Neodiprion lecontei: one gene and its partner. The protein of the gene in region 2 binds, or shares a complex with, the protein of the main gene of each other region. Links are inferred from orthologs where the notes say so. Each region holds a gene or a part of one and is shown on either strand. Other genes may lie near its edges.

Region 1 (11,939 bases), about 19 Mb from region 2:
CCATTTAATCTAAGACTTGTACATATTTTGTTTTAATCATTGCACCTCCCGATGTCATTGTATATTATTGCTGGAAAGTTGTGGTACTTTTTTGCGACTCGTAGAAAAACAAGATTTTATACACATGTTAATAATGTATTAGGGTTAAAAAAAAAAAAAAAAAAGAAGACCATTGACAAAGCTAGTTAGACGAGAGAAATGAATTCCACATAAATCTAATCAGATGTAAGTATTATATATCTAGAAAGCTATTTCTTGCTAAGCAAAACTTGATTCGCAAATAAATTATTCGCGGGCTATTTACTCTAGATAATCACTCGAGTTATATTAATGTTCCAAAAATAATAATGTTTGCGAATTAGAGTTTGCATGGCATGAAACAACCCGAATACCAAGAGTAAAAATTTCTATATTATTTCTTAATTTCTTAATTCATATTTTAATTTTTCTTTTCATTTATTTATTATTTCTATCAAGTTGTATTTAGCTATTGCATAGCGTGATAGTAACGAGTGCCGTTAGTTAAAACGTTTTATTTTCTGTTTGTTGTTTTTTTCTTTTTTTCGTTTTTTTTCAAGTCTCTAATCTGAAAGCATTCTCAGTGAAACGAATAATCTCTTTGCGCAATGGAAAGATGATCCTCGTCAAGGAATGAAATGACAAAATCATTTACAAGAATTAAACTTAGGGCACTATTTTCCTTTGTCAATTGTGACTAGCCCTCCTAGCATATTTGCGCTTAGTTTTTTCCTCTGGCTTACCTGAGCGGCCGCAATCGCTGCAAGACACCAGCTCCTCTGAACCACCAGTTTTTTTATTTTCTCTAGCATCGCCCAAGCAGAAGTCGCAGTAAGGAGACGGCTGGGCAGCTTTTCCTACTTTCTTTTCCCCGCTCGGCGCCGATGTCGTCGTCGTCGGACCCGCTTCGGGCTTTGCTGAAGAAGGAGAAGGAACTGCAGTACCCGGAGAAGGAACAGCCGACTGTAGGTCGTCCTTGGGAGTCGGTACAGTGGGGGAGGATGGCGCAGCAGACGATTGAACTGCCAATGGTGGTTGTTGTTGCTGTTGAGGTACTGCTGCTCCTCCGGCATTAGCCAGAGGCGCTGCAGGTGGTGGGGTCGGATTGCTCGACGAAGCAGTGCTCTGACGACCCCTTCGCGTACCACCTAATCACAAACCGACCACATACCCAGTTGCGCTTTACGTCTCTAACCGACGTCCATGCACACAGATCGATTGATAGCTTATCTTCGACTTTTTTTTTAAAACTTTAATAACAATTTATTCAGTTATAAAATGTCAACCGGGAATGTCTCAGGCATTTTTCTTGTTCTTTTATACTCGATGTCGCGCAAGCGTTATTTGCAAAATGGAAAATAACGCGTCGTTCTTTTAAACTGAATAAATTATTTCAAACATCTAGCGAATCAAAACCATATCAAAAATATAAATAAATAATCGAACACAAAAACAAACAGGCTGCAATTTAAAAAATTCTCCACCACCTTCTGCACATTTAGGTTGCGGTATGTAAACCGATATCTAATAACAATACTCCAAACTCAATATGTATATACGCAACAAGCTATAGTGGCGACTCAAATATTTTACATGTACTCGTCAATGGTTCGCGTTACAATCACCCGCGTTTTCTTTATTTTTCGCAGGTGTTTGTATAACAGCCCCTTTCATTTCAAAGGTCCGATACAGCAAACAAAAGATAAATAATTTATGTTGTTATTCGTTGAGCTGAAGAGCATGCTGAAGACAGAATGACAGGTTCTACGAAGAACACACACGTACCAGACACTCACGCAACACGAGTACGCATAAAAACATCGATTCAAGGCAGGGGTGGTGAAATTCTAACGCCGACCAAACACGGATCATCAGGATGTTCCAGTAATAAATTCACGATGAGATAAGATATTTTGTGTCTATGCGGGTTTGTCCCGATCTAGTGTTTGGACGTAGCCAGAAACGTGACGATGATATGTGAACGGGAAAGACGTGAATCTGGAGTTGAGCTCGTACGAGTTCAAGTCAACCAGGTAACGTTATAGGATGGAAATATCGAAGGGTTATTGGTACGAAAGGGAGGTGAGAAAACTGAGCTGATACTGGCTCCAACCTGGCTGGTCCAAAGCGTTGACATCAGCTGCACTCCACGATTCAACATCTGCGGGACTGGGACTTGGTTCCTTAGCAGGATCGCCAGAGGAGGTAGAGTGGGAATGACCGTAATGGTATACCAGACCTGGTCTGGTTTTATACCGAGCGCCGCACACTGTAAAAGTGCAAACACTGTTTTCCGGCGAAAAAAAAAGTACGTTCAACGTATAACCAATATTTCTTACAGGCCAGATATTTTCTCTCTTCTTTTTTTGATTCATTTCGTTTCTTCATCAACAAGTTTTAATTGAATTCCTGAACAATTTTGACGGGGGTTGGAGGACGAAAGCCAGAGGATAATTTTATCAGGGATATCACTTGCACACTTTCCGCACTAATACGCATCCCTATCCACCGATCATTGATCTCTATTTATGGACAAGCAGTGAAAGAGTTCCAGCCCAAGAAGCAAAAACCAATACGATGCAAGGCTTGATGCTTGAAAATACCTACGTTTTTAAATCGTTACAAAGCGAGCCATTACGTTTTCGCTTGGTAAAGTTATTTGCAAATATTAAGTGTTCCAAAAGACGTTTTCTTTTCCAACGATTACCCTTAAAAATATTAGATTTGATTCACGGGATGACAAAAAGGTGGACTTTTTAGCAATTCATTTTCACCATTTAAAACTGATTCGCTGATCATTTAATTAGGAAAAAAAAACGTCTTTATTATTTTTTTTTTAAAACTGAATACATAACAAGGATGTTATTGTTAAACAGAAAATAGATGCAAGGTACGCTTGAATTAATTCGAAGAGCTTGAATCAAAAAGTATATGGTGGTAATGTAAACCAAAACTGATTTATTCAAAAGACTTTCTGATAAACTGCAAAGACTATCACTCAATCGATTCTATTTATGTAATCAACGCAGTGCGAAATTAATTTCTCTATGCCGATTAATTGAAATGCTGGAAGTGTTGCGATTCGAGAAATTGTAATAGTGTGAAACATGAAAAGCAGTCAAGCAGAATAGTTTGCCGGTTAACTGACATCTTCACACGAACATCAGAGCATAATTAGTATTTTTTATTAGTCTGTTATTTTTTAAAAATTGTGAGTAATGTTGTAGTTGGTATCATTGAATTCATACTTTTATCATTAAAGCATCTGGGAATTAATGTCAATTAGAAGAGTACCTTTCGAGACAATAAAATATTAAATAAAATACTCCATTCCCCGACGCAAAATTACGCAGTGTGTTAATCTAAACGTTTTAAGAATTTATTTTGATTATGATTTACTTTCTTGCTTTTCTTCCCTAGTATATATTATATCATATATTCCTTTGTTTACCTTGCAAATAGTTGATAAGTATGGTAAAAATATAATAATAGAATAAGATTAACAAATTTTGCAACGCATTGCGTTAGTTACTTAAAACCAAAACAATAAACGGTAGAAGTAGTAGTGATAGTAGTAGTAGTTGTTGTTGCTGTTGTTTTTGTAGTAGTAGTAGTAGTGGTAGTAGCAGTAATAATAATAATAATTTGTTTTTTGTTTCAATGAAAACAACAGGAAGTGATCATTTGTAGTTATATCTATGGTTAAACTTACGGTCACAAACGAAAGGCTTATCGGAGTCGGCATTGTCGTAGTTAGCTTTCTTTCTCCCACGACCTCCACCCTGTATCAACAACAACAGATTGTTCATTGAGCGAAGCTCCGAATAAATTCGACATTTGTATAAAGTTTTCAATATATCTAAACTGTTTAATCCATGAAGTATCTTTCCAGTATGAATAAGTTCGATAAAAAACTGATGGAAGCAATACATTGTATATTAAACTCACCTTTGTTCTTTTGGCCCCAGGACTGTCCACGGTGGGTGGATGTCCCCTGATAGGATGGTGGGCTCCACCTCGGGGCCTTCTTCTCCGTCTTTTACTACTATAACTTTCTTCGTAGTCATAGTCACTGTCTGGATCGGGTTCGTCGAAGGCATCCATGTCCAGCATGTCTTGCTCATCATAGTACCAAGCATCCTTACTATGTTCATCTGAAATAATTTTTTCTTAATAATCGTTGAACATCAAGACTACAAGAGAGTTTGCGGAAACATACGTAACAAGTAATTTCAGTAGGGCTTAAAATATATTTTAAGCATTGAGGGTAGTGAATTGGCAAATCTAACGAGCGACGAGAATCAATTGGACCGGAAATTGTATCAACAATTATTGCACGCCCACTCGGAAGGAGATGCCAATCAGATGTATGTGATAACATGGAAAGTAGATATTGATTAGGACGAACCTTTGAGAGCAACAGAATCTTTGCTGTCATCATTTAGTCCCGCAACAATTCCGTCGGCTCCTTCGACTCCGTCATCTATATCCCCTCGGGTGCCTCGTTTTGGGTGAAGATAGTGCATCAGATACTGTCGCCGCTTTTTCCGCCATCGTTTGCTCGGGTAAGTATATACCTGACCATGCATCAAGCCTGGGATTCGTTCTCGAGCCGACATGAAGAGAGCCGAGTGATTTTGGGCGACTCCTGTGGTTAGAAAAAACTCGTTTATCAATAGCCATTGATTAACCAAGACAGGAATGACGGGAATGTCAAGATATCCAGTAACTAATGACAATAATCACAGGAAGTAATCAACTGGTTCCATCTACTTACCAGTTTGCGAGTCGAGGAAGGGCATTCGCAGTCTTCGTTCTCTGCATAGTCTTGTGTTATAATTGGAAGAATTCTCTATGGCTTCTCTATAGGCGGTGTCGTTCAGGAAGCTGCGGACAGATCAATACATTCAACATAGCGAAGTGCAACCCGCTCGTCCTACGACGGAGCAAAAATCGTCGAGGTTAAATTACTCTGTCAATTTAACGATGCGAATATTTCCATCAACATATGTGACAATCGTCTGGTCGCACTCACCTCTCGATTTTACTCAAATTCGACTCGTTCACTACTTGAATTAGGTGATGGGACGCTGGGAGAGCTGTCACCGTCGCCATCTTCAAGCAGTTTCCATCTCATGGGGAAATCGGAAATGCAACCGCCATTGTAGCCTTCATTAAATCTGCCGGAAGTACAAGGAAGAGTCGATCAGGGAGCGTATAATATAATCCTACATTATATATTAAAGTTGCGACAGATAGCGATTATTGCTAAAGTGGGACAATTGATATGTCACGAGCTTTGGCTTCACAAATGTGGAACAATTGATTTATAATCGATTCTTTATAAGAAATTTACAATTTTTCATCTCGTGCACATGCGATAATTTCCCTGGAGTCGATGATCGAATAGAATCAGTGCGCAAGTCACGTTACGTTGTAAATAAAATGGCGACTGACTTGTGGTAATTGTTGACTCTTTCTTTACCGACTAAAATTACGATACCGTGTGTTTGTAGTAGCTTATTCTAATTGAGGTTGAACGAAGAAAAAATTCGGTTCTTTTCAACGCAAATTGAAGTTCGACCTAGCTGATGTTTACACCTTGAATAAAATTTTTAAACTTCAAGAACCCGACGTCACTACATCATCGAATATGTCAGATGGTAAATAGCCAAATATAATTCAAAATCAAATTGTAAATGCGACATTTATGTCAGTTTCACGGTATAAGCGCCGGAAAGTGAGACATAACCTCATTTTGTGTTTTTATACAAAAAATTAGCTTTGTGATTATACTACAACATTAGTTAAACGTTTTTAATTGCACGATTTTTTAGAGGAAGTTATACGACGTCGTCTACTCATAGATGGAGATGGAACAGGCGATGATAGACGGATAAACGTTTTGTTGAAGTCGTTTTTAAAATGGGCAAATACTCCGGATCCAGACAATACTGTGCATGAAAGAATGCTGTCACAGCTAGCCCAGTGTGAATTCGCACAAAAAAAATCTCGTCTCGTAGCAAATATGAGTCAAGAGGAGTTAAAGAATTATGAAAGGATGTCAAAGGATATTGGTATTCAAATTGAAGAGGCTAAAAAAGAAATTGAGAAAACTAAGGTCGAGCTACAAGATGCTAAACGTGTTCGTAAAAATAGAATCGAGTATGACGTTCTTGCCAAAGTGATCAGCGAACAGCCTGATAGACTTGAAACAGATGTGAAGCTCGCCACTTTGCGTAAAGAGTTGGGAACCTTGAAGGTATTTTATGGACAAATTTTTTATCCTATCTTAGAAATAGTTTTAAATCGTTCATTTTTATGTCGACAATTAGCCGATTAAAGTGTGTCTCTTGGGAAAAAGTACGGCAACAACTATTTTATTCTTACAGGAAAAATCTGAACAATTAGAGCATAAGCTAGAAATGCGAAGAAAACAATTCCATGTGCTAATATCGTCGATTCATTCGCTACAAGGAATGTTGGATGAGTCTGATGAAGAAATAATGGACGTCAGTCTTGAGAATTACGAGGATGTGGATGTGTGTATGTCTCCAAAGGCTGCAGCCTGGTAAATGTTTCAAATTTTCCCCCGTAGCGTTTTGCAACAATAGATTATTGTAGGAAAGTAATTGAGAGATGAATTTGAGCAAAATAAGATCGTCAAAATCATCTTCCTAGTTTCAATTTGAGCTTGCTGGTCTTTGGAACGTGCCTGATAGTCAGGGATAATCTTGTCCCTCTGTCAATCACTTCATTCTCTTGATATTTCACAGCACAGAGATCTAGATTCATAATGTTCTTCCTTGAAATCGTATCACAATGCCTCTCAGAAATTGAATGCAGGTACTTGTGGTACAGGTCGTTTTCTAAAATAAGTAAACTTCTTCTCTCAAGTAGCAAGGTAAACTCCAGATTAGAAACTTCCTACGAATAAAGAATTCAGGAATAACTGTCAAAAAGCTCGTAGTTTCTCACCCTTATCAATATTTCTTTTACAGATACTTACTACGTGGTCAGTCTCATTCCGCTTATAAAAATCCAGGAGAGTGTGCGAGCCACAACTTATTGTTGTAACAATAGGATGAAATAATGGACCATCCGAATGTGCCTGTATAATAAAAAGTCAGTCCATATCAGGGACAAAAGGAAGAAGACTGTACGATTTTGTGTTATTCATAAAGAAGAACAATGCCACAATTTTGAAGAGATATTCTCAAAGTATTAGGAAACATATTATAAAATGAGATCCTATTTTACCATTATTCCTTGCCCAGGCAAATACTCGTTGATCAAGACATGATTGGGTAATTTTGTTTCTGGGAAGATCTGGAGACCTGATATTTTCCCAACATACTTCGTTAACCACTAGAAAATGATTTTTGATTATTGTAAGTTATTCCCCCTCCTCTACTTCTGCCTAGAAAATACTATGTATTTTGAGTCAGAATAAGAAAAAAATGCTGAAACAAATGGCCCTTGTATTCTCACTCACTGCCGGTATTTCCTCTGCTATCATACCCTTAGGATGAGGTATACCACCCCAATTCTGAAGTCTACGATGACTCAACTGGGTCCATTTTGGTAACGGAGAGTTGTTCACCCGCTTAATAATTTCTATCTCTTCCTCCGGCGTTATGAAATTTGGAATGTAGCGAACGGTTCTCGGTATCTATGAATCGAATGGAATTTTTTTGCAAGGAGATAACATAACCTCGAATATCCACAACCAATATTATGTTCATCGATTTTTGGAATAAAATCATACCTTCGGAACGATGGAAGCCGATGAAATTTCCAAATTTTCGCAAACCAAGTCCATTATTATTCAGCGCTTCAATCAACGGTTTTCCGAGTAGGGAAAATCACGAAGTTGTCTGCAGTAAACTGTCACTGTCATCTTAGCATTAATCAAGTAGTTCACCAGTGGATCTCATTTCTGTTGATATTCGCTTGCGATTCATGAGTTCCATAGTTCCGACCCGTGGTTCCGATGGTGGGAATTACACAGTTTAAACGGCGTTCAGTTGTTTCTGTGTAGAGTCAGACTACACTAAGTTTATGCTTCGATTAACGTTAGCGGAATTGGGCGTCACTCGTCTAAGTGTGATACCCGGCAATGATAACCGGCCCATCTGAACAGGTCGAAACCACGTGTCGGAATGATGGAACAATTGTCAACAGAATGAGATCCACTGATCAACACGTGATCAACTCACGGGAACACTTTTGCTGCCGCTGAAAATCTAGCCTACCCACGTTGTCATGGATTCAGGCGCGCGTCATTACGAAATTGATCCGTTTTTAACCCTCCTCGCTTTATCGATTATTCTCGCATTATATAAATAGAAGTAAATTAAGACGCGAAATGACGGAGGAAAGGACGACTGGAGGTACGGGAGACATAGATGGTAAAAGGTATTCGTTCTTATGTACGGAATAAAAATTTCTTCAATGCCAAAAGGATAACTCTAAATAAAATGAGAAACTGAATTTTACAAGCCAGTGCAAGCCGTCGTTGGGAGAATTGCTGGGATCGTTTCAGGTCAATGACTGTCTGGTTAAACTGATTCATCAGGTCTGTCATATCGTATTACAAAAGTTAACAATAAGCCTAGATTCGCTAGATAAGGGGCAATCATTCTATTTTCTGCTTTTGTCGTAGTTTTTACTTTACAATGAGTTCGAGAGTACGGCCGATTGCTTGGTTCACGAGGCGCCTAAACTTGGGTTCGATGTTCTCACCGAACATCTCTGCACCAAAAATGCGATACCCAAGGACGTCTGCAAGGCAGTTATGTCCCAGTACGTCGCTGGGAATTGGAAGCAATTTTTTAATGTAAGGTTCGAAGGTAGCACCATCTAATCGAGAAGAATATTGAAATCTAATTGTTGTTCTTTCTGCTGATCGCAGCTCTGGAATAACTTGATCCCACAAAGCATTAGAGAAACTACAGAATACAAAGTGCTGAGCTTCAAACTTCACCTGCATTTTGCTGTTTTGCCACTGAGAATCAAAAAACTGGATCTACTAAGAGATCAGAGTGAGCATGTGTTTCTCTTATCGTTATTACTTCGGTATGTTTGAATTTCACTGTCAAATTCCAACTGATTTTCTCAAATACAGGGTCTGACGAAGTTTCGAGAACACAAATGATGAAAATACTTGAGAACGCTGCTGAAATGTATTTTCTTGGAAGAGAGGTTCGCTTTTCTCTCTAGTATGTTTGGCTCCGATACTGAGCACGATTAGAAAGATGGTTTTGTTTATAAATTTCTACCACAGGGAGATGATAATCAATCGAAGCAAATGATGACTGACGCCATGGAACAACTGAGAACTTATATGGAGACAGATGGTCGCGAATTTGAAGAGAAAACGGATTTTTTACCTTTTTTTGCCCTTCCCTGCCTGGATGATGATCAAACCTACACTACGTTCCCAGAATTATTCGAAATTAGTTGGATGGAGGAGTTGACAAAGACTATACAAGTTTTCCTCATGAATCGGAAGCAGGTACTTGTATCGTAATTGGCGTAAAACGGTGTGTTCATCAAAAGCGAACTTAATTCATGATTCTTTGATATCTTGTCCTCAGATTCGATTAACGGCATCTCAAAAAACGTCCACAGAGACGATGACAACGGCAAGCAGACCTTATGTATGCGTTCAAGGAAATGTTGTAAACGTGCCTCTGACGTGTGAGAATTTGAAAGACTTCGAGGACAAATTAATGAGTATGAATCCAGCTGGCAAGATACCTATGGTTCAAAATGATGTTCCGAGAATGCCGTTGGAGATAACCAGAAGTACAATAATGAGACTGATTCCCCAGCAAACAGTGGATAACATAGATATTGCCCCGAATGATAGAAATATCCCAATGTTTAGAGAAAATCACAACATAATTGATCGACTTGGCTGCCATGCTAAGAAACGCTCATGTAGAATACATTCCAAGTAAGTATTGAAATGAGGCGAAGAATATTACTGTTAGACGAACGATCCTATATTCTTGAATGTTCAATTTTTGTCTCATCAGAAGCGCACAGACCCGGATCAGTACCGTAACGACGACGACAAATTTTATATCTACAAGCGATCTCCGCCAGCCTGCAGCAGTTTTGAATTGTTCTGTGCTAACAAAAAACATGAAAACACCGATTCAAACGAACCCAGAATTATCACTGACTAAATCTCATTTGTACAGTATTCAAAGCAACCATGAAAAGTTGAAGATCAGATTTCACAAACTACATTCGGATTATCATAAGTTGATAGGAATCGCCGGAGAATTAACGGCTGCGCTTGAAAATTCAGTCAGAGGAGAGGCAGTCGATCTGCAAAATATGTTGGAATCATGTATCACCATATTTCCAGACCTCTTCAATCATAACGTAAGAGAAAATACTTCTGAGGTAAGCTGAATGATTTTGTGGGCAGATAAATTTGATTCTTTTTCTCATTGTTCACTAAACTTTCATGCAATGTGATCCTTAGACGAAAACTTTGCTTGATCAAGAAGTGGAATTAAAACATACAGACCTCACAGAAGCACCCAGTCACATTGGCCTTAACATCAATTCTGTATCTCCAAAACTATTGGATTACAAAAAAATTAAATTTCATTTGATCAATGGGAGCGTTAAAACAAAGTTATTACTATTGCAAGCCTTGCGTTGGGTGAGTACGGTCCATAATACAGTTTCGGATAAAATTTGTACATGACACCAGAAATACGATCCTGTATGGCAAACTGAATTAATCACTATTATCAAGACCGTCGTTCTTACAGAAACTTACTCTCAGTCAACCGGGAGACCGGGATGAAACTGTGAACGAGTACCTGAGAGGAGATATTTTGGGACTACATGCTCAAGTGGCTTGCGACAGCGGTAAACAAATCCTGCCTTATTTATTAATGCCCAAAGACGTAGCCACTCCTCATCCCCTGCAACAGTCAGCAGCGAGGTTAATCAACACTTTGGCTTCTCTGAGATGCGGGAGAGATTACTTGGCTGTTGGAGCTACGCTGCTCAACTTGGTAAGCTTAAAGTACAATGTGAATATTCCAAAAATCGTGGAAATTATAAACCATCTTGTTTCAGATTGTCAAATGCCTCAATGGAAACAATGGTGAGTCGATAGATTCATTCACTTGCGATATGATAATCGCAATGCTGCAAAAAATGTCATTGCGAAAACAGCAACGACTCTACATGATCGAAACTGGACTTGTGGAATGGCTGATATTTCACTTGAAGTCGGAAAGCGATAAAATTGGCTCGTATAGATTGGAATATGCCACTGCACTCCTGATGAATCTATCCTTGCACAAAGCAGCACAGATACGAGCATCGGCTATGGCTTCCGTGGTTATTTCTACTCTGACTACTTTACTAGCCACAGATCATGCACCTGTGAGCATATTTACAAAGATTCGTGCAAAGAGTATTTTGTCAATTGTTACTGATGCCAGTCACTTATCGTTCACCTTCTGTATCAGGCACTACCCTACATCAACGGATCATTAAATAGTTTTTTATCAAACCAAGTAATAAACGAGGAAGCAAAAAAATCGGGACTTACAGCTGTATTGGAATATCATCGAGGGCGAAATTCAGGAGAAATAAGGTGAATATAGGCTCACAGTAAAGATGTTTAATTTATCGCTGTCGATTGATTATTAATTTGTAGAAAACATTTGGACCATATTTTAAAAATTCACAACCGTGATTATACCACCAACTCAGAGGACTATGAAACGGCGGATGACGATAATGTGAGCTTTCCAAAATAATAATCGTATCTTACTGAATTTCATTGATTTATATAAGGTGATATTTAAATTAGGAAGAGCTCGATGTACTGGAAGATGAGCTGGAAGAAGGAGATCCCGTCAAAGTTCATTCTGGTGAAT
Region 2 (13,416 bases):
TGCGTAGGAAGAAAATAATGTGCCAGTCCTATTTCAAATATTCATGAAATGTATTTTTAATATATTACTTCCATTATACTTGGTGGAAGCATGTTCATATTTGAACATCATTACGAAGTGTCTGTTGTGATGGATTTTTGATCATTCGTATATGTGCGTCTTACAGCAACGAATAACTTGAAAATGCGAGTAGGTATTGCTCGTTATCGCTTTCAAAACGTTTCAAGAGAAATGTAAATGTCGCCAATATTAAATTTGAGCAAATTCACTGCTCTAAAAAACTTGTTGAATTAGGTCATTGAACAAAAAAATAAACTAAGCAATCGTGGGTATAATTATTTATCTTTTCAAGAAACCATTAACTCTGTTGAAGTCTACATACCTTATTAACAATTCGTAAATAGGTGACGTACAAATCAACTGATAATTTTCAAAAAAATTCAATATATTTACGAAGAAGTTTTCACGAGAACTTAATTTTTGTTTTTTCAAAATGTTTTCAAAGAGTTGTCAAACAAATTTTGTAATTCAAAATGTAAATATTGCAATTAATTTTGAAAAAAAAAATAATTCAGAGCAAATATCGACCTAATTTAGAATTCTTTCTTCCAAAAGCCTTCGTGATTGTGTATTTGAGTATGACATGAGTAACGAAAAATTTTAAATAAATGAATGAATAGTAATTTCGCGTACCTAGTATCTAATTTTAAGTGAAATAAAATGGCGAGTCGATTCAGGCATCGTAGAGAAATTTTAGAAAAAACTTGGATTCTACAGCTTCATCCTATTTAGCCTAGTCAAATAGAAACGGTAGCGATACCTCCACAGGCTGCTCGAGTAGCTTCGAAATTTCAATATTTCATTTCTTTTTAATTGTTGAATTCTTACGAAGACCAATTCCCGATTAAATTGAGAAAAAGAAATGGTTTAGAAAAAAATGCTTTACAGTATTACATTTTTATACTGTAACATTTTTGCAATCCTCTGTTCTCAAAACAGAATAATAATATGAGACTTGAAAATTGCTACCGATTTTGAACCCTTCACAAACAAAATAGTTACTAATTCAGAATGTTACAATCGTTAAAGCAAATATCTGATGATTATATCTGTAATATACTCTGTATTGTTGTGTGTGATTAAATCAAAATGCTTTCAAATTTTACCCTTCATTACAACCTGCTAATCGTTAAATCATGTTTTATATTTCCAGCCGTTGATCCTACGATGTTCTCGAGATATTTCTGGAATTCTGGAAGATCCAATTAATGAAAAGAGGCTTCAGAAAATCGATACTTGAGCAAAAAAACTTTTAGCTCAAAAAAAAGAAAAAGAAACCCTAAGCCATTATTATTTGATAAAAAAATAAATTGCTGTCAACAAGCTGCTATTGATTGTTTAGTTGCCATTGCAGGATTCCCTGGAACTTAATTGGTACAAGAAAGATCTTCTAGCTGTGGATTCTCTGTTGGAATACCAACCAGGATTGTTCTTTGCAGAAAATGACAATAATGGTAAAGGTAAGAAATTCATTTCTCCGCCTTCTCCGATTTAATATTGCTTTGTTTTTTATTTATACCTATAATTTGGCCAACACTTTAAATAGGTTTAACAATTAATATTGTCATTTCTCATTTCGAAATTAGCTTGTGCCCTGAAACATTTTACACTCAGTCCGATACTAACGATAAGTACACGGATCATATTCATGTACATATAAGGAATATAATTGAGCAAAATATAATTGCCATTAGTGAGCTATAACAGCTTATTCTAAGTTTTCATAAAGTCGCAGACGGAATAATAGCGCTCTATATTTGGTGCGACATGATCAATATATTAAATGTCATATCTTATGCGTTGCATTTACAAAAGTGTATAAAAAATAATATTATTTATAAACCATCGTCACTTGACTAACTCTTATTCCTTGCGCGCTCGGTCCATGGCTGTTTGTTTTGCCCTCTTATTGGCCAAGTATATTGACCAGAAGAATCCAATCAGATTTACTACCAGCACACGTAGCTGTAAAAGAATGCAACTTGTATCAACAAATACATATGGTTTTAGAACTTGCTAATTACTAGGATTTATATAAATTGGTAACATAATGTAACGATTTTTGTTGTAAAATTCTAATAACGTATTCCTTATTGGCAAGATTTGAAAGTATGTAGTTAAAATTATGAATCAATATTTTTCTGAGTTCATATTATCTATCTGATTACCATTGGTGGGACGAATGTTATGTTGATAAATTGGAACAGTGTTAAGTACTTCCAATTTGCCGCTAGAACGGGCCAGTATAACTTCTCCAACTGAGCGTAGGATGTTTCGTGAGTTTTTCCCTGAAAAGTAGTAAATACATTTAATTATTATGCATCGCTATATCCTATTGGTAAATATTCAAGATTGGATTATGTACCTCAAATCGTGCGAGCATGTACAATGACAAGACTTGGAAACATGGTGTATACAAAATTCTCTCTATCAGCAGAATCCCAAGCGAATGCTTTGTTAACTTGTGGATATGCTGGTAAAAATAATGAGGCACTGGTCCACCAAAAATGAAGCTAAAAAGAAAAAATTAAACGAGATAATACACGTCACAGTGTTGAACGCGACGATTAAGTCGAACGTTGCAAAGTTCGCGCATTCTTACTAAAACGTATACAGCATCCTGTTTTGGACTACTTGTTGGGATGAGTAAAAAACTACGTGAAATCCAATACAAGAAGGTTCGTACAAAAATTCGCAAAAATAAAAAGGCGGTATCATTTTGTTAGTATCGAGAAATTCTATATTAAGGAGAAACCTTTGAGTTTTGTATTATTATAAGGTAAAAGAAAACATAGGAAGCCTTTAGAATATTATAGTCACACTGTAACTACACGCACCCTTTGAAACCCTACAAATTTTGGTTAGGAATTTTTTTTCTATCTCAGTTTTGAAAATATCTCGATGAGTTATTTAAATACGAATAGCCTGTATATTTTAATAATGTCTTCGGATAGAATATATTCGCGATGCTCACACGGTGATTAATTATCTGAGTAGCTGAAACGGATACTGTTGCAAGGAGTCTGGATAGATAAAGTTCCATAGTACAACATGCCCAGGCAGTACACTTTCTGACATGCCGACTATCATTTGGCTTTTGATAGTCAATTAAAAGTCAACGCACACAATAAAACTGACTAAAAATTATTGAAAACTTGCAAAAATCGTGACTCGTTAACTAAGCTTGGTAATCTTTTGCCGACCGTAAATCGTATTGCTATTTAGGTGGGAGTCGTGAATAATTAACAAAGCGAATTTCAGTGATATTAGAACAGTATATGTCGGAAAATGATTGTGTAAAGTATCGAATGTAGTTAGAACAATATCACACAGGATTGTATCGATTTTAAGTAAATAAGATGTTATGGATAGAATAAAAATACTCTACAGTAAAAAAAAAATCAGAAACCAGTAGCTATGTTCATTTTGTAGACAATTCAAGATACAGCATCGATATATGGATATTTTTTGGTACATGTGTGGTGTGCCAAGTCTTTCGTGAGATTGAAATTTGTAATGTCAACGCAACACTAACGTAAGATTAAGTTACTTCTATTATTAGTGAAGGTTGTGGGAACAGCGGGGCAAAAGTGAATTGCCTACTGAGATCCTCAAAATATCCTGAAAGGAAATCTTATATCCTCATTTTTTGATACCCTATGAACCCTGAATAATTGGGACGATAAAATTTTTTGTTCATACATTTGCCGCAACAACGTTATAAACACCAATCTCATTGTCTTATTGAATGCTACAAAATAAGTGATTTTAGATTGAAGCTGCAAAGCGTGTTGAATAAATTATTGACCTTCTCCAAAGTTGGTACTAGTTGTGTAGAGTTTAATGCCATACAGCAAACTCAGCGCAACGAAGCAGGAGAAAACTTGGATACACCATTCATTTTGGTGAATTCCATTCACATTTCAGATCTGGTAAATACATAATCTCCAATTCGAAAATATAATTCCTGGAATTCAAATATTGCTCTATTTAATCAAATGAAATTGTATATTGATAAAATATGCCTTTCGCCTAAAGAATTCGAGCGTTTTATCGCAACTCAATAGTTGATAAGTATCACACGAAATATAAAGTATGCTTATAATTCCCCATACCTTTCGATCATGAGCCAAATACCCATCCATGTATGCATGTATTGTACTTGATAAGATGGCTTAACAAGAATACGGCTTTTTTTTAATAACTGCGTTGCAATTGTTAAATTGAAACTCGTCTCTTATACCTGGCGAGGAAAGGATAAAATATTGCTGATTTATAACACGAGGCTGAAATAATTTTTGGTTTCTTAGTCTTAAGACACTTTGCACGGCCAACACACACATTTTGTTAAAGTATCAAATTTGCCTCACCTTGACCATATACTTCAACTATTTTGATGAGTTTATATATTCGAAAATTTGGAACAATTTCAAATGAATATGTGATATTTTGGTATTCAACACATACAACAATGGGCTTGTTGGCGAGAACTGCCGAGAGTCGAGACTCCTTGCAGACCTCGTTACATAATTGGCGCTGGCATTGGTAATGGTCGTGAGCATCGCGAATAGTAATTAACTTTATCTGTAAAACAGTGTAAATTAAATTTTTCGTCTTTTCTTGTTTTTATTTGGAAAATTTTACAAATTTTTAGTAAGTTAAACATGTTACAAATAGATGATTGAATATTAGACAATTAGGTAATAAGGCATCTGAGTAAATATTTGTTGTGATTTTTAATCATTCCAACAAATCTTTTACTCAAAGAACTCTTGATATATCGATATGTACATACTATAGTGAAATATTCATTGAAATTTACATGCGTAAATGATGCCAAGCAACTTACCCGAATAAAGCGAATGCAATCAGACTATCGTGATTGAGGTGCTTCGCTCTGGATAATTTCTGTGATACATAATTACCCAAAGTTGCGATGCAGCAACTGGAATTGAAAAATACATACCATCTAATAATAGAAAACTCTTGTGATACACAAGTAATTCTGAGTTATGTGATACATCGGTGTTGGTACTACTTTTTTTTTTCACTTTGCCTGATTTGCTGGAATTTCTAGTAAAGGTCTTACAGTAAAGATATATGCGTTGGTTTTAATATGAAAAATTTTTCAAATATCGCGGAAAATCATCAAACAATCAACTCATACGAAAAGTGTTCATTGACGTAAAATTCTTCTCGCAAAATTACAAGTGTGTCGTAAATATGACGAATTATTTTTTACCTCGTAAGAGCCTTCGTTTTTAGCGGAGTTGAATAAAGACTATGAAAATAAGCTCCAACCAGTTCGTAAACAATGTCTACAGATTTTGATAACGCCATTGTCACGAGTTATCGCTGTTTTTGGGGTTGATCTTCTTTAATCTTCACTGATCTCTACTTGCGGTATAGTGTCTCTGACCTCTATCGTCTCTTGAGTCTAGTCTCTAGTATCGTTATCTATCTTACTTTTTTCTTTTTTTTCTTCTTATTTCTGCTCAATCATACTTATTTCCAATTATGCTGTTTTTTAACTTATGGGTTCTTTTAACTCGACTAGGGCTATGATTGGATAAACAAGACGAATAATGTTACTATAGCATATCATCAGTCAACGTGTGCTGTCAGTTTTCACCTAGGAACCAGTAAATTGTAGAAGAAGAAGTCTCAGATTTCTAAGCTACAATTTGTAGGTATTGCAACGTGCCGGGCCACGAGTGTTGCGTACATGAAATGCGATGAGAACCGTTGGCGGTACGTCGGTAACCTATAATTGAAACCTTCCATTTTGGAAGCTTGCTACGGTTTTTCACTTTTTACATTTCCGACCATCCAAGCATTCTGATTGATTTGCAAAGTTTAGTCAACTGATCACAATGCTTGGATGGCGAGAAATGAGAAAAATGAAAAACCGTAATAAGCTTCCAGTTTTTAAAATCTAGAGATGAGCGTTTGCAGCAATCTGTCGGTAAAATTGTTCATCCTTATTCCAATTCCATATTGTTCCTCCGGCGATCCACCTCTTTATAGTCACTTATTAGTTACTATTACTTCGTGGCTGAAAAATCCAAGCGCGCTTCAAGCACACTTCAAGTGAGTAAATATTGTGGAGTAGAGCTTGGCTAGCCTCATTTGCTTCCGTTCAAGCTCTCACGTCAAGAATGCTAGAACAAAAATCGTGCGGTATGAACGAGAAATCATTTTACAACACTGTTCAATGTCAAACTTTTTCTGCCGATGGGAATTATTTATTAGCTGGGAACATATATGGCGACGTTTCTGTCTATGAGTAAGTACAAACGATTAATTTTTTAATTCAAGTAATTCAATAATCCGTCGACCTGCCAGGTTAAGTTGTATAGTTTTACAGCATACCCATAGTGATAGGTTTTAATCTTACAAACTTGATTTTACGAATATTGTCGTAGTTGATGATGACAAACATCATCAACTTTTACAATTGGAAAATTATTCACTAATAGGTTGTCTAAGGTACTGGGTCCCTATCATGGAGATGACTGTGATCCAAGAGGGCCGAATTATCAATTCACTGCGTATAAACAACAACAAGTTCACAGCATTATAGCAACTGATAAATTTCTGATTACCGGAACGGTAGGAGAAATATCTGGATGGGACTGGAAGGTTGTGACTTCCAATAAAGTATCTAAAATTAAAGTTTCCTGGACGATTCACATACCAACCGTTAAGTAAATATCAAATTGCACAGTACGCTATTAAAACTGTCATGTATTTACAAATTGATGAAACTAATTACATTTGTTCATACATATTCCACTTATTTTCAGCTGGTTTTATTTCTCTTTTCTAATAATTTAAGGGACAGCTACGTTAAGCCAGATGTCAACTACATGCTAATTTCACACGAAGACAACATATTACATGCTGGTTGCGGTGATAATAAGATATATACGTTCAGCTTAGAAGATGGAAAATTACTCAGAACACTTGAAGGTCACGAGGATTTCATCCATGCTCTTTCAATTTTGTAAGTAAAATTTATTAACATCTAGAGATTATTTCATAATAAATAATACATTTGGGTCATTTTGAATACTCACATTCATTATCAAACGAAACAATTATTGCAAGTAGTTATTTTCAAACTGAGGTAAATTCGTAGTCTCTTGTTGAGAAGTAGCCTTTTACAAGATTAGACAGAATAGAGTTGGTATTAAATGTGGGTTGTGGAGTGTACATCTGGATCCAATCAATTTAAACAGGCATTTCAGACATTATCCGATTTTTAAAAACTTAAACAAAAAAACTATGTAATCTAACATTATAATTTGTGAATAAGTTTTTTCGACAGTAACATTTCGATCTCAATTTTCCCATGTTTGGAACTAGTTTATGTAAAACTCTAACTTTGTATGCTATTTGTTGCACAACATATGTAGAATTACATTGTGCACATTTGATTTAAGCTTTTTAAAATGATACTGTAACGACTTAGGGACAGGGTATTCTCTGAATATCGTATTTCACAAAGCGAAGAAAATAAATCCCTTACACTCATGTCTTAATATCAACAGAGGAAATCAGCTGGCATCTGCTAGTGAAGATGGGTCAGTAAGACTGTGGGATATGAGAAAAAAAGAAAACACAAATGTCGTGAAGCCTTTCTTAGCAGACAAAGTGAACAGACCCAAGCTCGGCAAGTGGATTGGAACTGTTGATTTTACGGAAGATTGGCTTGTAAGTCATTCTAGAAATTACAATAAGGGCTTGGGAAATCATCTTCACTTGTTGGAACTGTTACATTTTAAGGGAGTTTAGTCTAATCTCATATAATACTACGTGAAAAAATATCCTATACAGTACAACATGATTCTCATTATATTGATCCTCAGCTCTGTGGAGGTGGTCCAAAATTGGCTCTCTGGCACATGCGAACTATGGAAGTGGCTACTATATTTGACTTACCTGACCAAGGTATTCACCTTGGATCTATTCACGAGGAGAGAATTATTGCTGGAGGAGCAATGCCAAACGTCCACCATCTCACTTACCAAGGAGAAGTGTTAGCTGAAGTTCCAACATCGAGCAATACAATTTATTCTATTGTTCATCAAGAGAGTCCACAAAAATTATTGAGTATGGCTGGATCAAGCAATAATATTGACATTTGTACAAATTTCAGTTACAGAGAAATGGTACTGAAATTTGCTTGACATGATAACAAAAAATTCAAGCACCCTCTATCAGGATACAAGACTGAAAAGTCCTGCTCTGCTGCGAGTTACTGCGTAGCTGTACCTCCAGAACTTGTTGACCTGCAGAGGCAACCAATAACGTAATGTTATTCTTCATTTTCCACCACTCAAGATAATTTTGTTCAATCATTTTATGTAAAATATACTCCGTTTGAGTAAAACGGACCTGCTAAATTATTAATAACTCCCCCATAGGACTGACCCTACGTTATCTTCTCTCCTCAATGGTATGAGTTTTTTTTTAATATTTAAGATAAGAATAAGCATATTAATATCAAGTGGTAATTTAACTTTTTGCAATAATACAATTGTCATTAAATGTTAATGGTATTTGGACTGCGTTTGAAAGATTTATGTATGTATGTACAAGTTTGTTCATTAATCCTATGGAGCATATAGGAGGGATATCTTAGGGTTATAAGTGAGCCAATTTTAGCTGCAGTAGTGGAGCTGTAAAATGAAAATTGTTGAAATGGTGTCGTAATAAGTGTAACTTGTATAACTAACACAATCAAGTTCATCACTCAACTAGGTGGGTGACACAGTAATTCTGGCAGTCCTCGAAATGTCGCCAGCAGCTAGTAACGCTGGTAGACAAGTGGTTCATACAGGTTCATATAGGCAATGGGTAGTACAGGTATACATGAATGACTACGGTGGCGGCATTACGTGACCATATTATGGTAGTAGGACAGCGGCGCGTGGCTGGGGGGTGCAATCAATGACATAATTCGTATAGAACCAAAGTCTTATTTTGTTTCGGACGGTGAACAAGTTGACCGGAAAGTTAAGGCACTAATAGTTTCATACATTTTACTGTACATAGTTAGACAGTACATAGATGACGTAATTGTATATGGTGATCCTCCTGATTCTAATTTTTTTTTCACCATTGAAGCAAGGACCTTCAATCAAGCTGCTTTCTGATTGGTCAAAATCGCTTTCGCCGGTGAAAAGAAGATCAGAATTAGGTCTATGGCAATGCGTTTTAGAACACACCTTGTACAATACAAATATAACTATGTATTCGTATCCTTGCGCGGAGTTGAGTGACGTAGTAGCATGGTGAAGTGGAGCATTTTGCACCGTGGCTAGTTATGTATATGATAGAGGCTTCGAAAACTTCTTTTCCGAATGCCCACAGTCCTTAGAATAACGAATTGTACAACTAGATATTATTATATTAACCCAAATTGAGGTGAGATCACGAAGTAATACTTGAAACACCTGAGTTCATTAACAACGCGTCAGTTAATTTTTTATAAAATAGGATTCAATTTCAAGCTATACTTTGTCGCAAAGTGTTGTACGATTCTCAACACAAAGATCTTATTCACTACCTAAATTAATAACCAGGATAACGAACATAGTGTTTGTATATACTTTCATACGAATGGTGCTAATTACGTCACGCATTTGTAACCTAAAATGTCATTTGTAAATGTTGCACACGTCAGCCTAGATTATTACTCTACTACGATACAATCCATCCTAAATTTCGTGTTAAATTTTCACAACTTCCAATGCACAAAACTTGAACTTTCACAGATCACGATTACAAAATAGCAAATTGCACTTCACACGTTTTCTGTCTTATCTTCACAGATGGCTGAGAAACCCAAGTACTATGGAAAAAATCGTAGTATTGTACGCAGAATTGGTTCGTTTCTACCGTTGAAGCCTCTCCCAAAAATCTATGTCAGCGTAACTGCTTTACATTCAATGAGCAATTCAATGATCGTTGATGATGCAAACTCTAACATTGCCGATACAAATGGATTCGGATTGGAAAGGTAATGCATTATGTCATATTATAATTTGTTTTTAGACACGAAACAAGCATGTTGTATATCAACTTCTGTATTCCAAAATTGTTGAGCTGAGTGGTAATATAGAAGCTAAGTTGAAAAATATAGTCTTGAAATAAACAAAAACGACTAGGAAAGTGATTTTTAAATTTACAACGTCAACACAATTTCGTAGGATATTTTGAAAGCCCTTAATTGAAGCTGAAAAGTATTATTCAGTGATGGAAGAGCGATAACATGTTGAATTAAGATCTGTTTTCAAACGTGGAACTTTCCAATATAAAAATACCTTTTTTTACATTACTAATTCAATTACAGAAAACAGAAAGTAACAAAGATTTAAGTATCTGCTATTTGGCACAGTGATATATACAATATATCTAAACATTTTTAAAAATATTGTACATTAAAGTGCTGCATTTGATTTTACGTCTGCCAACTTATTTGCTGACAGTGCTAACAAGGGACACATTTTCAGTGGGCGGCTATCTGGAAGTAAGCCAGACTTGTTAGAAACCATTAGCTTTGGTTCTGAAGTAAGATTGCTCGCCCTGGAACAGGAGTTACAAGAAATGCGAGAGAAAATTGCAACAATTGTCCAACACATCAAAACAACAGACCGTACGTATAACACTGTATTTAATAATATTATGACATTGATAAATAATTGTTGTTGTTACTGTTATTATTCTTGCCTGAGTAAGTCTTGCTGTATATGTACGAGAGTACTTATATTCAAACAATGGAATGCAAGTTGTCTGTGAGATATGTTATGACTGGAAACGAGACCGATGAGTTGACAATCCGATAATGAATTGTTGACTGCTATCATGCTGAAAGTAGCAGGTGATAATAAGCAGCTAATCTGTGTCTAACAGTTTCAGGGGGAGAGCAAACGATAAAACATCTAGAAATATAATTATGAGAATTCCCTGAACAGCCCTACTACGTTTCATTGTTTGCTCACTAGCTGAAAGCTTTATACACATATTATTTGCAGGCTATTACCTACTAATTTCAGCGTCACTTGACTGCTATGAATCCTAAGCATGATTCAGCCCATATATTCTGAATTATATATTTGGAAAGACGAATTGAAGTAGCTCATTCGCACATTGACGTATTTGAAATCTATTGCAGCACCGTCCGACACGACCAGTGAAAATGCATATGCAAACGACCCACCCCGCCCTCCTCCACCACCACCACCTCTTCCGCCCCCAAGTACACCACACATAGCAAGAAGGGCCAGTTTGCAAGATCATACAACATCTGAATGGCATAAGCCACCCTTGAATAGCCAAAAATCAATGGGAGATATTCTAAAGGAAATGGACAAGGTCAAGTTGAAGCCTATTGCAAGGTGAACATCCCCTTTATTATTTGTAAACGACTATTGTCGCTGGTAAAAATGACGCATTTTACAGAAATCAGGTAACGTGTATGACCGTTAAACAAAGTGAATCTCGTACAATATCACGACTCTTTTAGTATTCGGTGGCACTCAAGTTAGATAAGTGCATGGTGATTTCTCGTACTTATTAAATTATCTTCCAGGCTGTTATATTAAAATATTAAATACCGTTTTTTTTTTTTTTTTTTTTTGCAGTGCATATACACACGTATGTACAAATAATTCTTGTGGGCTAAATTCGTAGAAATGAAAATCTCACTGCAATTTACTTTAGCCATCTGACTTCTTATTCTTTCATTTTCTACTATGGCTTTTATTATAGTGGACTTTGCCGTTTTCTATTGATAACAATTTAGTTTCCTCAAATATTTAAGCGTGCAAACTTTACATTCAAATGAAATATTAAATAATGCTTTCTAAGATAGGGATGGTATTTGGAAGAAACTCAGAATTTTCGGATCCCTCAAGGCTTATGAGTTCTTATTCAGCTAGCATGAATGTGTTGACAAAATAGTCTTAGTCTATTCTGTTGTTAGATTACTAGCAATCGATATTCCTGTAATACAAAAACGGTTTATTACAGATCGCCAGGTGGAGGACCATTAAAGTTAAAGCGTGGAAACACTCCTAATAATGATCTGCAAGAAATTTTGAGAAAGCGGTACAGTGTTGTACAAGCTGAATCTCCAGATAGTCGAAACTCATCTATCATCTCAGCTCACAACGATTCATTTACCCATTAAAAACTTCCGTGAAAATCAAATATTTAAATACGATATGATAAAGACTATTTTTTTTTGTTTTCATTCTCCATTCGAAGTGAATTATAGTTCAGTGATTTTCTACCTAATTGTGAAATTAGATTTTGCCTATCTGCAGGCACATATCTTTTATTTGAAACGAAATTTATTACGCTATGATGAATCTCTTTATCTGCCAAAGAGGGTGCTATTGATATTTTAATTTGAATGATCGAGTATCATTACACGTGTAGTCATATTATGATATTACATACCTGTCAATATTTAAAGTTTTTGATAAATATAAATAATGTTGCATCATAAGTCCCGAAAGAAACGTGAATTTTAAATATGTACAAGCAAAACGACAAGCCAGCTCATTTATCACCACTCCAGTTATGCACAACGGAGATAGATTTTTTTAAACACAAATCGTAAAAATACCAAGTATTGAACACATGTTCTCAAAACTTCTATTACTTTGCCCCGTAACCAGAAAAAATACGATTACACATAACGTAAATTTGTAATTCTACTCCGTGACTACCCTGAAATTAATGAGAATGGCACTGTAATCTCAAGGATAATACGTACATTATCCGGACTTGGTTAATTTTACGATCTGTTATAGATGTGTATAGATATTCAGGTGTAATATACATACATGTATACATGTGTATGTATGTGTTTGTTAAATGGACCACCGGTGATAGCATAGAAGGCTGGCTTTACTCATCTCACAATGTGTAAAAGTGTTTCGATTCATTCACCTGCGGTAGGTGATACATTTAAAAGTTAGTATTATCCAATGAAGAAAGGTCAAATGTAAGAATTACCAATAACAAGCTGACATTATGCGTAATTGGAGAATTTGCAAATTTTTTAGTCCTTCAAAGTTTTTAAGTCTGAGAGAACTTTTCTTCAAATGAAAAAAAGTTAATTTTATGTTTAAAGAATTGTAACTCAATCCCTGTATGGGAACTATGGGACTTCAGTTTGAAAAACCAATTCAGAGATACGGAGCAGCTTGGGCTGATAATTTCGTATGTAGAAATGTTAAATAAGACGTAATAAGAATGTTAGCTTAATTGCTTATATCGAGCTGAGGATTGAACTGTGTCGTCCTCGAATAACTAACTACGTCACATGTATAACACTAC

Evidence for each region.
Region 1: THO complex subunit 6 (region 2) and THO complex subunit 7 homolog share a complex: the UniProt entries of both Drosophila melanogaster proteins name them as parts of the THO complex. The link is inferred for Neodiprion lecontei from reciprocal best matches to the Drosophila melanogaster genes thoc6 and thoc7.

What each region holds. Positions count from the first base shown.
Region 1 is NC_060266.1:24,836,418-24,848,356, reverse strand, and holds THO complex subunit 7 homolog, read left to right. Parts: upstream 1-5,480; 5' UTR 5,481-5,671; coding exon 5,672-5,681; intron 5,682-5,855; coding exon 5,856-6,280; intron 6,281-6,334; exon of another isoform or gene 6,335-6,410; coding exon 6,411-6,593; 3' UTR 6,594-6,659; downstream 6,660-11,939. Other genes in the region: zinc finger protein ubi-d4 A, read right to left, coding at 762-1,166, 2,132-2,287, 3,731-3,800, 3,967-4,172, 4,427-4,666, 4,796-4,905, 5,054-5,133; alpha-ketoglutarate-dependent dioxygenase alkB homolog 6, read right to left, coding at 6,688-6,945, 7,028-7,129, 7,279-7,386, 7,514-7,690, 7,787-7,840; lisH domain-containing protein ARMC9-like, read left to right, coding at 8,387-8,436, 8,521-8,596, 8,684-8,857, 8,933-9,062, 9,146-9,222, 9,305-9,535, 9,618-9,979, 10,062-10,437 and 6 more. UniProt on the Drosophila melanogaster protein: The THO complex is required for cell proliferation and for proper export of heat-shock mRNAs under heat stress.
Region 2 is NC_060266.1:5,733,115-5,746,530, forward strand, and holds THO complex subunit 6, read left to right. Parts: upstream 1-5,852; 5' UTR 5,853-6,025; intron 6,026-6,204; 5' UTR 6,205-6,218; coding exon 6,219-6,346; intron 6,347-6,539; coding exon 6,540-6,767; intron 6,768-6,898; coding exon 6,899-7,066; intron 7,067-7,613; coding exon 7,614-7,776; intron 7,777-7,931; coding exon 7,932-8,252; 3' UTR 8,253-8,296; downstream 8,297-13,416. Other genes in the region: peroxisomal membrane protein 2, read right to left, coding at 1,924-2,025, 2,229-2,348, 2,426-2,573, 4,910-5,005, 5,303-5,400; mitochondrial fission regulator 2, read left to right, coding at 8,860-8,931, 9,900-10,087, 10,581-10,723, 11,243-11,465, 12,100-12,259. UniProt on the Drosophila melanogaster protein: The THO complex is required for cell proliferation and for proper export of heat-shock mRNAs under heat stress.